Linked DNA regions of Drosophila melanogaster. The gene in region 2 interacts genetically with the main gene of each other region. Each region holds a gene or a part of one and is shown on either strand. Other genes may lie near its edges.

Region 1 (7,549 bases), on a different chromosome or scaffold from region 2:
TGGCCGCTTTGCAAATTGCTCTTTAATCGTTTTTGTATATGTTTTCCTGACGTAGCGTGCTGCAGTCCAGGATCGAATCAATATTTAATGGCGACCGCGTTTCCACATTCCCAGGCGGAAGGGAGTCGTCGCTGATGGAATTCTGACTTCGTGCGCCCAATGAATCACCCCCAAAAAGGGGGGCGGCAAAGCAGCCGGATAGTGCGGAAAATGGGCAAGTGGGAACATGGGAAAGATGGGAAATGGGAGCATGGGCAGCCGGGGCGCTGGAGCGGACAATGACCACCTGACTGCGCTTCCTGTGGGAAGGTCTCGAGGAGCGGAGGAGCAGAGAGCATCCGAGAAATTACTATCAATATTGATTTTTATTCGCAGCCAGTGCCGTCTTTGTTTTTCACATATTCATGGCTCACACATTCACAAAAATGCACAGTGCGCGCTCGCTACAGTTAACTGGCAAGCAAAAGTAGTTATTTAGATTCTCAAAGGAAAGATAGTTTCAATACTGTAGTAATATTAGTAAGAACTTTAAATTCACAGTACCATTAAGGCAGCAATGTAAGGATTCTCAAAACACGTACTTTCCTGTTGGCATGTTCCCTTTATCGAGCGTGCACTGTGATTTTTCTTTGCCTTAGAAAGAATGGGAAGATGGGGGCACGGAGGATGGGCTTGAGAGGCAGGAGGAGGAGCAGGAGGCGGAGAAAGAGGACGAGCCACCACCAGCAGACAGACTGCGAAAAAAGAGACGGCAGTCACCCCAATGTCGGAATTTACTTTTGCACTAACTTGGCACTTTTAACTTTCTACTTTCTAAGGTTTCCAATACCTTTTCGCCGCCCCTCGCCACACACACTCACACACCCGCCGTTACGCGACACACACACACACACGGATGGTGGCGTGCAACAATAAATACTGATTTTGGCGATTGGTGCGCCCGAAAACACGTTGAAATGCCACCAAATTCCGCTGAGCACTGAGCACTGAAAGTCGAGTTCCTGCCGCTTCTCCAATTCGCGATGCCTAGCATTTCTCTACGTCTCGTCCTTCGTCCTGTCGGCCGATAAATCGCGATTGCCGAGCATGCGCGTGCTGCCAGCCAAGTGGGTTGTCAGCAAAGGCGATGAAATTATAGCCGCAATTGGCCCTTACAAGACTGGTGCGCAAATCTTGCGGCAACACATTTCAATTTGCGCTTTTTCGAGTCCGCCGTTGAAAGTCAAACAAATGCGCGTCTTGTCGTTTGGAACAGCTGATTGCCAGGTGCTTCTTCTTCTGCGAGTGCCAGCCACTGGGAAGCAGTGTTGCAAAGGGACGGTAGAGGTAAATAACAGGCGCTACAAATTTAAAATTTAAATGCAAAGTGTTCTCACGTACATGTTTATTCAAAGCACTCAATAATAGTATGTACTTACTTTAATAACTAAATATTATATGCACATTGGACAATGAATTATTACTTATTTATTTATTTTGTAACCAATCTTTAAGTCAAATGGGAGGATGTATATATATGTTTCATTCTCCGCTCGTAAATTATTATTGGAGACGTGCAGATAAAATAAAAGCAAACCCGTTCACATCGAAGCTCGCCTGGTGTGACCATCCACGCTGGTCAAACTACTTTGCGCACGCCATGGTCGCACTGCTCGCAGCAAGCCAGGCTTGGCATTCAAATTTCGATCGCGACGAGCAACAGGTGCGATTTTTGGCATTCCGGTTCGCAGTGCAGCGCATTTCTCCCACTTGGCGCCCTAAAAAATCGGCCGGGGGCAAAAACCATAAACCATGGTGTATATCGTGTGTGCAAGTTGACTTTCACTGCGGGTCAATTCAGAGATCGGGATCCCAGGCGACGTTCGTCTTTAATTAAGGCGCTTCGCACGCGTTGTCGTCGTTGTTTTAGCTCCAATTTAGCTGCTTTAGCCGTTTTATCTGCTTGGTAGTTTTGGCCAAGTAGAAGAGGGGCTCCGCTGCGAACGTGTTTACGATTTTCTGTGCGATCCCAAGCTGCGATTCGAATGCGAGCTTCGCGTTTTCGCACTCGAAACTTCTTTTCGTCTATTTCTCACCCAGAAAACACAATCGCAGTAGACTTTTGAGTTGATTTTAGTGAGAAGAGGCAGTAAAAGAGCCATGAAAAATATGGCAAGAGATAAAAAAACAGACAAAAACAGAAGAAGCAGAGGGCGACACTGTGCGGAGTACCGTTAATGCGCGAGTAACTATTTAATCATGATTTAAATAATGAGGAATTCGCGCTCGTAATTGATTTAAGTAGCGCTCGGCATTTGCATAATTTTCCCCATACGAACACACACACTTGCAAGCCTGGAAAATCCGTTTTTCCTCTGCAGCAGCAGCGGCAGCACAACAAGTGCACATGTGTAGGGGTGTGCAGCCGTGCACGGCATGCATGCATGTGGCCGAGTGCAGGTGTATTGGTGCTGTTGTGAACCTAAATGGACAAGTTAGAATCCACATTCCACAACAATGGCCAAGAAAACGGCCGCCGATCTATCAGTTCCTTGGGCAAATCCAAAGATAATTGCAGCGCGGCGCTCCATTCGCAATTTACTCCACAGCCTGTGCAGAAAACAAATGGTTGCTCACAGGCTCAAGATTAGAACAATCTGAGGATCGGTGCTCTCTTTTGTGGAACAAATCTTTAAGTGTACACATGGCTATTGAACTAAATCTATAACCGGTGGCCTTAATTATCATGACAATGAACTACAAAAAAGTCAACGAAAATAGCATGAACCTTTTAGAAGAAGCTGTAGGAAAAAAGTCGCGGCATAATTAGAACGAGCGAAAGGTTGCACAGTGGGTTAAAGGTGGTGGTTTGGGTTAAGAAAGAATCGGTGGAGAAAATGGAAAACACAAATCCTGTGTTACCTGTCCGTCTAGTGCGGAATGCCGACTGTGTGGAAAGAGCTCAGAAAAGACTGCTGGGAATTAATTAATTGTTGTATTTGTAACCTTCGAAGGCAGATCACTATATTTAGGCCAATAAAATCTTGAGAATTTCACGCAAATTCATTCATATCAGCCACATTTTACACAAAAAAGGTTCGTTTATTATTGAAAAACTGAGAGAAAATTGGGAAACGCTGTAGGCTATACATATATCTAATGCTTCTTTCGAAGCTTAGATGAATCCAACCCGAATTGATGATTGGTTTGTTATTGTTTTTTCGAGCACCAAGCTTCCGATCTATTTTGAGAACCTTGAAACCAAGCTAATTTGCTTACGAAACGAATATATCTCCTTTAGAACACAATGTAACCAAGTGGGCCCCATCCGTTTGGTCAGATATTGTATCTACCCTCCATATATATTCCGAACCCACTTAGCCGCACAGCCGTCCGCCCACGAAGCCGCAGTAAGCAACTGTAAACGGGGGAAAGGCCAGAAGAAAGAGCACAATTTTCAAAGAATTCATAAGCACGCGCTAATGCGAATACTAATGTCATGCGGGCTCCATCTCCATCTCTCTGCTGACCAGTATCCACTGGCCCCTGTCGTCCCACCTAACCACCAGACCACCGCCCAACTCCAAAATCCCACCCCCCCCCCGCCCGACCACCGCCTGTTACCTGTGCGTAAGGTGTGTGGAAGCACCTGTTGTTGAACAACATAACCGTGCGTGCCCGGCCGTTCGTGTTGCGTCTTATTAGAAGCCGCATTCGGTGGCCCCTGGGCCAGTCGGTAGAAACAGAGAAAAACAAGAAAGAAAAACAGGGGAAACGAAAAACAGACTTGGCCAAAAGAAGCGAGAAACACAGCGCTGAAAACCGGTTGACGTGGAAATGAAAGAAAACCTTTTGCATTTACAGTCAAGCTTCGGGAAGGGAAATTAATTTGAGTCGAAATATTGGTACAACTTCTCGCGCCTTTTCAATTTAAAGCAAAGATATCTCCAGAAAACAAAGGTTTATAAAAATAGATGGATAGTTGTTCCAATATATAATCAAATAATAAAACCCCCAAATTTGCTTTTTCACTTCATATTTCTTTAGTTCAAGCTAACGAAGTTTGACTGTAGCACTTGCCGTATGTTAAAACTGATGTCGCTGAATAGTTGGATTTTTCTCTTTTTCCACAGATCGAATTTGGTGAAATCAATGCGTAGAAAGTGAAACGAGATTCAGACAAAGTTGGGGGAAAAGTGAAAAGCTGCGGAAAACTTGGCTAACCAAACAAACACATTTGAACACACTTGCGTTGGGCGGATTGAGATTTCGTGCTCCTCCAACCGATTTGCCTGGCCAGGAGCTGCAGTTGGAGCTGGAGCTGGAGCCAGAGCCACAATCAAACACCTGGGCGAGCGGCGGCCCACCTGCCGGCTTAGATGCGTCTAATCCAAACGGCAACCGGCGGTGCTGCTGCGTCCGTTCTGCAGACCCACTCCCAGGCGCAGTACAACTACACCAGCATGCGTGAAGATGATATCGAGCTGGCCATTAAAGTGGTAAGTTGCCCAGCCGGCTGCGTGAATCTCTGTCATTCGGATGATGAATGGTTGAAATGAGTGCACTGCAAGAAAAAAAGATGGCTACTATTAAACCAAACCCACATATACAATTGATTATATATCGTATCAAGAAGAGTTCTGCATATCCCAAAATGGAATGACTTCTTTCCAATATTAGTATATTAATCAACTTCCATATGTTAAAGCATCAGATCATCTAATAGTTTTTCTATATATTTTTATAAACTTCTAACTAGTTCTAAATAATAACTTTCTGTGTAATTTTCCCTCGCCAAGTGTTGTGAATGGCACCTGTAAGATAAAATCCGATGGAAATGTCTGTTGCTAATGGCGAAACTGCACGAATTAAGATTCTAGTTCAATTAGGGTTCTCCTCTCCCTAAATAAAGTTGTTTCTAATGGTTTTTCTGGAATTGTTTCAAATTGATTTATATGATTATTTCCGAATGTGTCTTTCTGCAGACAAGCCAAATTTGATTGACATTTACGCGCTTAATTAACTTAAATGGCTAACCGTTTTAAATGTCCAGTAGAAAGCACATAAATATTGTGAACAGTTAATTTTCTCTCCTTCTGGTGAATAACAAAACGCTTTTTTGCTTATGATTGAAATAGCAAAACATAACGTAAGACTTTTGTTTTGAAATATGAACTAATAACAACTCTGGTATTTTCCATAGGTCATTGTTGGAAATGGCGGCGTTGGCAAGTCATCAATGATCCAGCGCTATTGCAAAGGCATTTTCACGAAGGACTACAAGAAAACGATTGGAGTGGACTTCCTAGAGCGACAGATCGAGATCGACGGCGAGGATGTGCGCATCATGCTGTGGGACACCGCCGGCCAGGAGGAGTTCGACTGCATCACAAAGGCGTACTACCGCGGCGCCCAGGCTTCCGTCCTGGTCTTTTCGACGACGGATCGAGCATCCTTCGACGCGATCAAGGATTGGAAGCGCAAGGTGGAGAACGAGTGCAACGAGATACCCACAGTGATTGTGCAGAACAAGATCGATCTTATCGAACAGGCGGTGGTTACGGCCGACGAGGTGGAGACGCTGGCCAAGCTCCTCAACTGCCGGCTCATCCGCACCTCCGTCAAGGAGGACATTAACGTGGCGTCCGTGTTTCGCTACCTGGCCACCAAGTGCCATCAGCTAATGACCCAGAGCTACGACCAGGTGGCCGGAAACCAGCAAAACTCCAGCCATCCGCCTTACAGCAGCACGCCCACGATCAGCGCCTTCAGCCCGACCTTCACAAAGTCCAGCAGCGGCACCATCGTCCTCCGTCCGGCGAAGAAGGGCCATGGCTCCAGCGTGGCCCGAAAGCGAAAGATAGTGCTCAAGAAATGCGGAATATTGTGAGGAGTTGTCGGATTAGCTGGTTAGATGGCGGCAGGGGCGACTCGGCTGGCAATTAATATCTGGAGCATATTTAACGCCTAATTATTTTGGAGCCTAATGATGTTGTGGCCGGGTGGCCAGCCAACCGTTGGATGCAACCACAGCCATTCACTAGTCGTGCACAGACTCCGCGTGATGTGGTTCAGACATGCTTACGGAACAGAAAAAATAATCGGAGGCAGCAAATTGGATCTTCTGGATCCCCACGAAGATGAGATACCCTTGCGGTCGAACTGAGGAACTAAATATTTGATTTACACTGCACAACGGAAAGTTTTCACCATCTTTCGGGCCGGTTCCGATATCTCACAAAAATGTATTCATCTTTGGTTTTTAAAACTACGATTTTTAATATACAGATTTAAATTCTATGCCGGATATTGTTCTTGAACACGAAAATTATAAGAAACACCCAAATCATTTAAGACACCATAGAATAAGCTAACTTTTCGGTGTATTATTTTAACTGCAACTATTTAATACTCCTGTTTATATTTACCATATATAGAACGTATATACAGACCCAATACTCACTTGGCCACACGAGCCATTAGACCAAAACCATAGCACCCGATCTGCACGGGTAGATGATGAGTTCTCGAAACCATAGACAATATGCACGAGCACTGGCAGTTTCTCAAAAATTTCCACAATTAGTTATAGATACGAAATCAAATTTGTATGTATGTATTATGCCCGCTTTTCTATAACGGAGACTGAAGCAACTTTGCTTTCATATCGAATATGTTTGTATATAGGGGTTAGCTCCCTAACCAAGCAGAATTAAAAGGCTATTTATCACGCTACCAAGCCCAGATCACAGGTCCATGTGAAATCCCTTTGCCAATTCGCGTTGGCCAAATGTGCAATTAAACATTCAGCTTTTATAATTATTAACTAATTGCAAGTCATGCCAGAGCGCAATTTGACGCGATTCATGTAGACCAGTGCTGCTCGCATTCTATGCAAAAAACTGCAGATAGAGCACAGTGAAACTCGTGAAGCATGTAACATGTAAGCCGAATAGGAGTTTAGAAATAACTAATAAATAATAAATAACCCTAAGCCCATTAATATTCTATTTATGCATGTAATGATCCATTAATATGTTTACTTAATAAATTATTTTATGTAAATTAAGTCGATTGTTGTGCAATTGGGATTCACTTTTGGAAAGTCAGCGGGCAGGAATTTGATGAAGTGGGTTCGAAATTAAAGTAGCATAATGGGTTAAGATGTCATGGGTTAAAACAGCAGTCGTAGTTTTGAAATGTTTACCATTTTTTATTTGATTTTTGATTTTACACTTTTTTTGTAAGCTTGACAATTTTGCGATCCGCTTCTGTTACACCATCGTTTAAACGTTTCCACATTTAAATCGTTTAAACTATTTTAAATATATAATATTTCTTTCTTTATATTTACAATGCGCGTTGAAAAACTATCGCTTCGCAACGCATAAATCATTAAATGTGTATATATCTATTTTGTTGTAATTTTCAAGTGTTTCCTTGTATTAATAAAGGCATAAATAACTATTCGTCAATTTCCATTCTTATTTATTTACACAAAGTCGAAAAATCAAAATATCTTAGATATAGGCAAGGAGAGAGAGTAGAAAGTTCGATTTCTGGAGGGTCA
Region 2 (5,335 bases):
ATCAAACGGGCAAGAGACCACTGACCACCCACCTGATCCACACACTCCCTTAAGGGTTTTTGTGGTGACAGCCTCGGCAGATGCCTTCACCTCCCCCGCAGTCACAGTGCAAACAGCTTTCTGCACTTCGCTGGGCAGTTTTGGAGCAGCTTCTGTATCCAAGGGATTCCCGGTGACGTTGAACAGTCCACTGCCCGATTCCTCCTCCGTCGCCATCGCCGTGGAGCAGAGAACAAGACACAGCATCCACGTAGCTGTCATCATATCCATCCACCAAGAATCCTCTTCTGTTGAAACACCCAAACACAACTGTCGACGAATCTTGGGAAATTGGCAATTTGGGGAGCACCACCTTGAGCCACTCGTTCACGTGGATTTATTGGTCGGCGTGTCTTTTGACTTCTGGTGCGTGGAACTACTTTTAGAATGGGACCCTCCCACCAAACTCTAAAAATAGTGTACACTTTTGATGGCTTCTCTAGTACGAACTATGAATGAATGAAACACATTCGCACGATGTTTGTGTTCCTCTTGAAATACCTTCATACATACATATTTATTCGCTGCGTTTCAGAGGAAATGTACATATTTTTCAATTTCTTAGAGTTTTGGCAAGCTTGCGCTTTTCGAATTTTGAAAATACAAAATTGCACTTCCCCTAAATCAAATGCTTTCGTAATAGAATTGCTGAAAATGATTAATTATGCATTCTTAAATATAATTTTAAAAAATTGTTTGAATGCCTATATAAAAGTAATTTGTTTAGTTAAAACCACATTTTAAATATTTGTGTTTATATTATAGCAAGAATTCTACGCATAGCCAGTATCTAAGTTGGTAGTATCCTTCCAAGATGTCATCCCATTGAGAAGAAGGACAACCGGAAGGCCATTTCGACTATGTTCTGGGGAACATCGGACCGGTGACACACGTACACTTCCTTGGCTGGCGACTGAAAGAGACGACCAACCACCACGAAGCGACTGCTCGTCGAGGATTGGGATTGCCCGTCCGACTTGGGTTGCGTGCTGACCTCCAGGATCATGCCGTGCTCCTTGACCAGCGACACTGTGTGGCTACTGTGCCCGTTCGAGTTCGTCTGTGCTCTCGAGGATTCCGATAGATGCCTGCGATAGTGCTTGGATTTCTGCAGCACGGCGTGGATTATGTGACACGCCTGACGAATCTCGGAGAGGTAGTTGGAGTTCTCGGAGCTGTCGGTAAATGGCGCAAACAAGGACCCATTGGCTATGTCAATGTAGACGTAGTGCAGAACGGAATTCTTCCAGCCAGCGGATATCTTGACCGGCACCACGTTGTTGATCTCCTTCCACATGGACTCTGTCATTTGGCTCTGACTGTGGCTCTCGGCCCCGAGATTCAGTCCATAGTGAAGTGGATGCTGTACGGCGAAGTTCTCCCAGTCGGAACCGCTGTCTGAGTCCTCGGCAGTACCATGGATGGGGGTCAATCGCCTGCGACAGGACTCGTCCTCACTGGGAGTCAGACTATGTATGGAAGACCCACCCAGGGACGAGCACAGTTGGGCTTCCTCCTCCACCGAAGGACTCAGCACGGTTAGCTTCTGCTTGAGGAAGGACTCCAGTCGGTTGTTCGGCTCCTTCTCCTGATCTCTACTCTCGCTGGCAGTGGCGTCCAGCACCTCGGGTCTCTTATTGGAAACGGACCAGAACATGGCCAGGGATTCAATGCCGCACTGTACTAGGTGGTCCAGCGTCTCTTGAATCTCCTCGATGTAAAAGAGCGATGGACCCACCACCGCATCCGGCGCCATGTCTGGAGCATCGAAGATCTTCAAGATCACGGCCAGACTCAAGTGGTTCTTGGTGCAGATGGTAAGGAAATATCGCCCTGTGGCACTGGGCAACACTATCTCCTCCCACACGTACATCTCGCGAACTTTGATTCCCGGAGCAGCTCCGAGCAACTCGAAGATTCCGCGGCAGCGCAGGAATCCTTCTACACTCACCCTCACTTCCGGTGGCAGCAGGCTGGCCACCAGGAAGCCATCGTAGTACAGCGCACTGCCGTAGATGAAGAACTCGCGATGGGTGGTGAGTGGCTCGTCGTTCCAGTTGCGATAGTCCATGGCCTCCATTTCACTCAGAGCATCAAAGATGCGCAGCTGCGCTTCCTTTGGCAGTGGCAGGCTGCGGGATTGGCCCAGGAGCTCCTCGAAACGAATATGACCATGGCATCTGGCTACGAGCCGGGTTCTCTGGATTTCGCAAAAGTGTCGAAGGAACAGCTTCAGTCTCGAACTATTCCCCGGCTCTCTCTCCTGATTAAAGCTCTCCAGGACCAAGCCCGGCAGAGAGAAGCGTATGTATCCGATTAGCTCATCCGATCGCAGGCTGCACTCCGCCGCACAGCAGAGTCCTCCGGCGTAGGCGAAGAGGACTAGGAACCCATTCAGTTGGCGGTAGTTGACGTGGTATTGCACCTGATCCACCAGCAGCCTTGAACTCAGCGGCTGGGTGTGCAGTTCACTGAGTACGGCGTGCAGGGTGAGGAAACTCCCACGGGCCTTGAATAGGAAGTTGTCGGGGATTTCCGGAAAGTAGTAGAGGGAATCCTGTTGCTGTTCATGCTGATAGCACTCCGGTGGGAGTAGCAGCATAGCAAAGGGCATTCTTATGTCCACGGAACTACCGGGAATACCGAAGTTCCCCTCCGTTATCAACATCTGCTCAAACTTCTCCGTGAACATGGGAAAGTTCTCCACCTTGCACACCTGCTCCTCGCGGACATTTCGATTATACCCCGGATCGGTGGGCGAAACTGCACTGGCCGCACCGCACGACTGGAAGCCTAGGCACACCTGAGTGGGCTCCACGAACTGCTTGAGCAACTCATCCACATTGCTGGCGTACACCTCTATGCCATTCAGGGATCTAAACCAATCTCCCCGCTTGATGCCGTGCTGCAGCGCACTCACATCGTGAACGAACCCATCGACCATCAGGCATTCTGGTTGGTCCGGAAAGGGCAGGACCCGGAAGCCCAGTATGGACTCCACCGCCGTGGATCGTCGTCCGAAACGGAAGCGATCAGCGGCTGTGATCACCAGATCCAGTTTCTTGGGATCGGGGGCAGCCGTCTTGAACTGTGAGAAGCGGAACTCTTGCGGCTCCGTCTGGCTATCCAACCTGCTCGGGCCGTGGGACTGGTTTTGGTTCTGACTCTGATTCTGATTATTGCTGTGCGGCTGGCGACGCGACGACTTCTTTCCCAGGCGCAGCGATCGACGCATGAACTCCACCCGCCGCTCTGCCGAGACGCCAGTCTTCTCACATCGCACATACTCCATGTAGAAGAGACTGCCGTCTGTGGACACGTACTCCTCCCAGTTGGCCAGGTCGCTGCCATCGCTGTACGAGTTGCTCAGCGAGGAGTTCGAACTGGAGAAGGCCTCCGACGGCAGGCTGGCCGGCGATTTGCGCATAGTTTACCGGGGATAGTTAACTGGGCGGATAGTTATTAGTGGCCTACTATTCCAGGTACACACTCAACTATCTGCCGCCGGTTGATACCGCCTCAGCTCAGCTCTGAATGTCGACTGAAAGCCGAGATCCGATCTCAGCACTCAAAACCAGTTTCTAATTGAGCTCTGGCTCCGACCAGCTCAATACCACTCCACTCAAATTCCAGCGGGAAACGATCCACTCCCTTTGTGATCTGGTTCTCTTTCAAGCTGGGGAAACTCAAAACCCACCGTGGGTTAAGACAAGTATAGTTACCATAATACAATAACCAATTTCTTTTCTTTTTATAAGTGTTCGCATTTAACGATTGGACTGCTAACCAGTTGATTTCAGCGTGATATTAAGTTATAAATAATAATCATGGAAAATCCTTATAAAAATAGAGCTCCGTCTGCGATATGCTGACTCTGCACAAAGTCGCATTGAAGATTTGGTGGAACTTAAAGCAAAATTGGTGTGCTATCATAAGGATTGTGTTAATCAGCGGAAGATTAGTAAAATGTTGCTTCCTCAATGGGTATCCGATGATCATTTGTCATAGGAGACTACCGCTGAAGTCCTATCTCCCAATAAATTATTTTACGGCCAATAAACTGTGTATGCATGATATGAAGGGAATTGATATAATTAATTGGGCATTTGTGGACCCGGGTGTTTTAGTGGCCACCTTTTCGTATCGCCGATGGTCTGATAATCTAAGATTTTCCAAGTGATTTTTTTCATATCGGTCTCCGGACTGGACGCCGTAAATCAAAACTTTTCTATCTGCAAACAATCGAGTAGTATAGAAAATTGTGTCTCACTGAACTCACTATGTGCTGGCCAAAAGCGAGCCGTGGCTATATCGGTTGATCCGGAGCACCGATCCCATTGAAGTACGGGCCTAATAGCCGTACTCCGACGTCCAGATAATTATCCGATAAGGAACATGGCGTGGGCGTGAAGCGGGACGCCCAGTGCCACCGAAAAAGCGATACGCTGATAGTCCCGGGCCATTCAAGGGAAGATATTGCCAAAATTGATAAGCCGTATCATGGCAGAATTAGCCGCACATGTGTACCGCAGCTACCTATTATTTCTGCTGACCATCGGAGCAAGCTGAGTCCTCCAGCCAGTCCATTGCGCGAATCCAAGGCGTGTGCTTCGCCCAGCCGCAAATAAAGTGATTTGCGGGAAATGTCGGCCGCGGTTAACTATCACAAAATGTGGCTTAGATTTCGGAATACCCAGTGAAACTGAATGAGTGGCTAAAAATTGTATAGAACGCGATTATCTGTGTGATTGTGAAATCAAACAGCTGTCAAATCTTATTTATAATCCCCCATTACAAGCACTATAGGTGCGCAATTCAGTGAATATGTGTCCAAAATATATATGGGATGTGATCGTATTAGTATGCCTGTTCCTTGGAAACGTAAGGGAAGCATACACCGAGTTTTCGATCCAGGATGGCTTGATAATAGAACCAGATTCAGCCACAACATCCAGCGAAGAGGCCGAAGAGGTCAGCAAGGAGAGAACGGACCTCAAATCCCTCATGTTGAAGTACGAATCGGATGATGGGAACAGTTGTCTGCTGGATCTGATCAAGGACGAGGTGATATGGTGGCAGTTTCCCAACGGAACCCTCAGGGACAGCACAAAGAAATACGGTAAACCTATCCAATAAAGTCCAATAAAAATCCCTGCCCAAGTCTCAGTTTGATTGGGCATTGTTAACAGCTCTCGAAACTATATACATATACTTTCACGCTTCCGGCAACGCGGATCGACTGCTTATAGAAGGTCTTTGATGTTAGCCTAATCCCACCAGAATCGGTAACATTATT

Evidence for each region.
Region 1: of in (region 2) and Rab23, changing one enhances a phenotype caused by changing the other (phenotypic enhancement), as found in Drosophila melanogaster (one study listed by BioGRID).

The regions. Positions count from the first base shown.
Region 1 is NT_033777.3:5,679,551-5,687,099, reverse strand, and holds Rab23 (Rab23), read left to right. Parts: upstream 1-1,665; 5' UTR 1,666-1,702; intron 1,703-4,112; 5' UTR 4,113-4,358; coding exon 4,359-4,478; intron 4,479-5,182; coding exon 5,183-5,869; 3' UTR 5,870-7,046; downstream 7,047-7,549.
Region 2 is NT_037436.4:20,365,447-20,370,781, reverse strand, and holds in (inturned), read right to left. Parts: upstream 3,585-5,335; 5' UTR 3,467-3,584; coding exon 857-3,466; 3' UTR 523-856; downstream 1-522. Other genes in the region: CG13247 (uncharacterized protein), read right to left, coding at 33-270; Toll-9, read left to right, coding at 4,864-5,158. UniProt on the Drosophila melanogaster protein: Plays a role in the definition of cell polarity via the planar cell polarity (PCP) cascade. Acts downstream of fuz and accumulates asymmetrically in wing cells to regulate planar polarity in the wing. Probably acts by regulating ciliogenesis.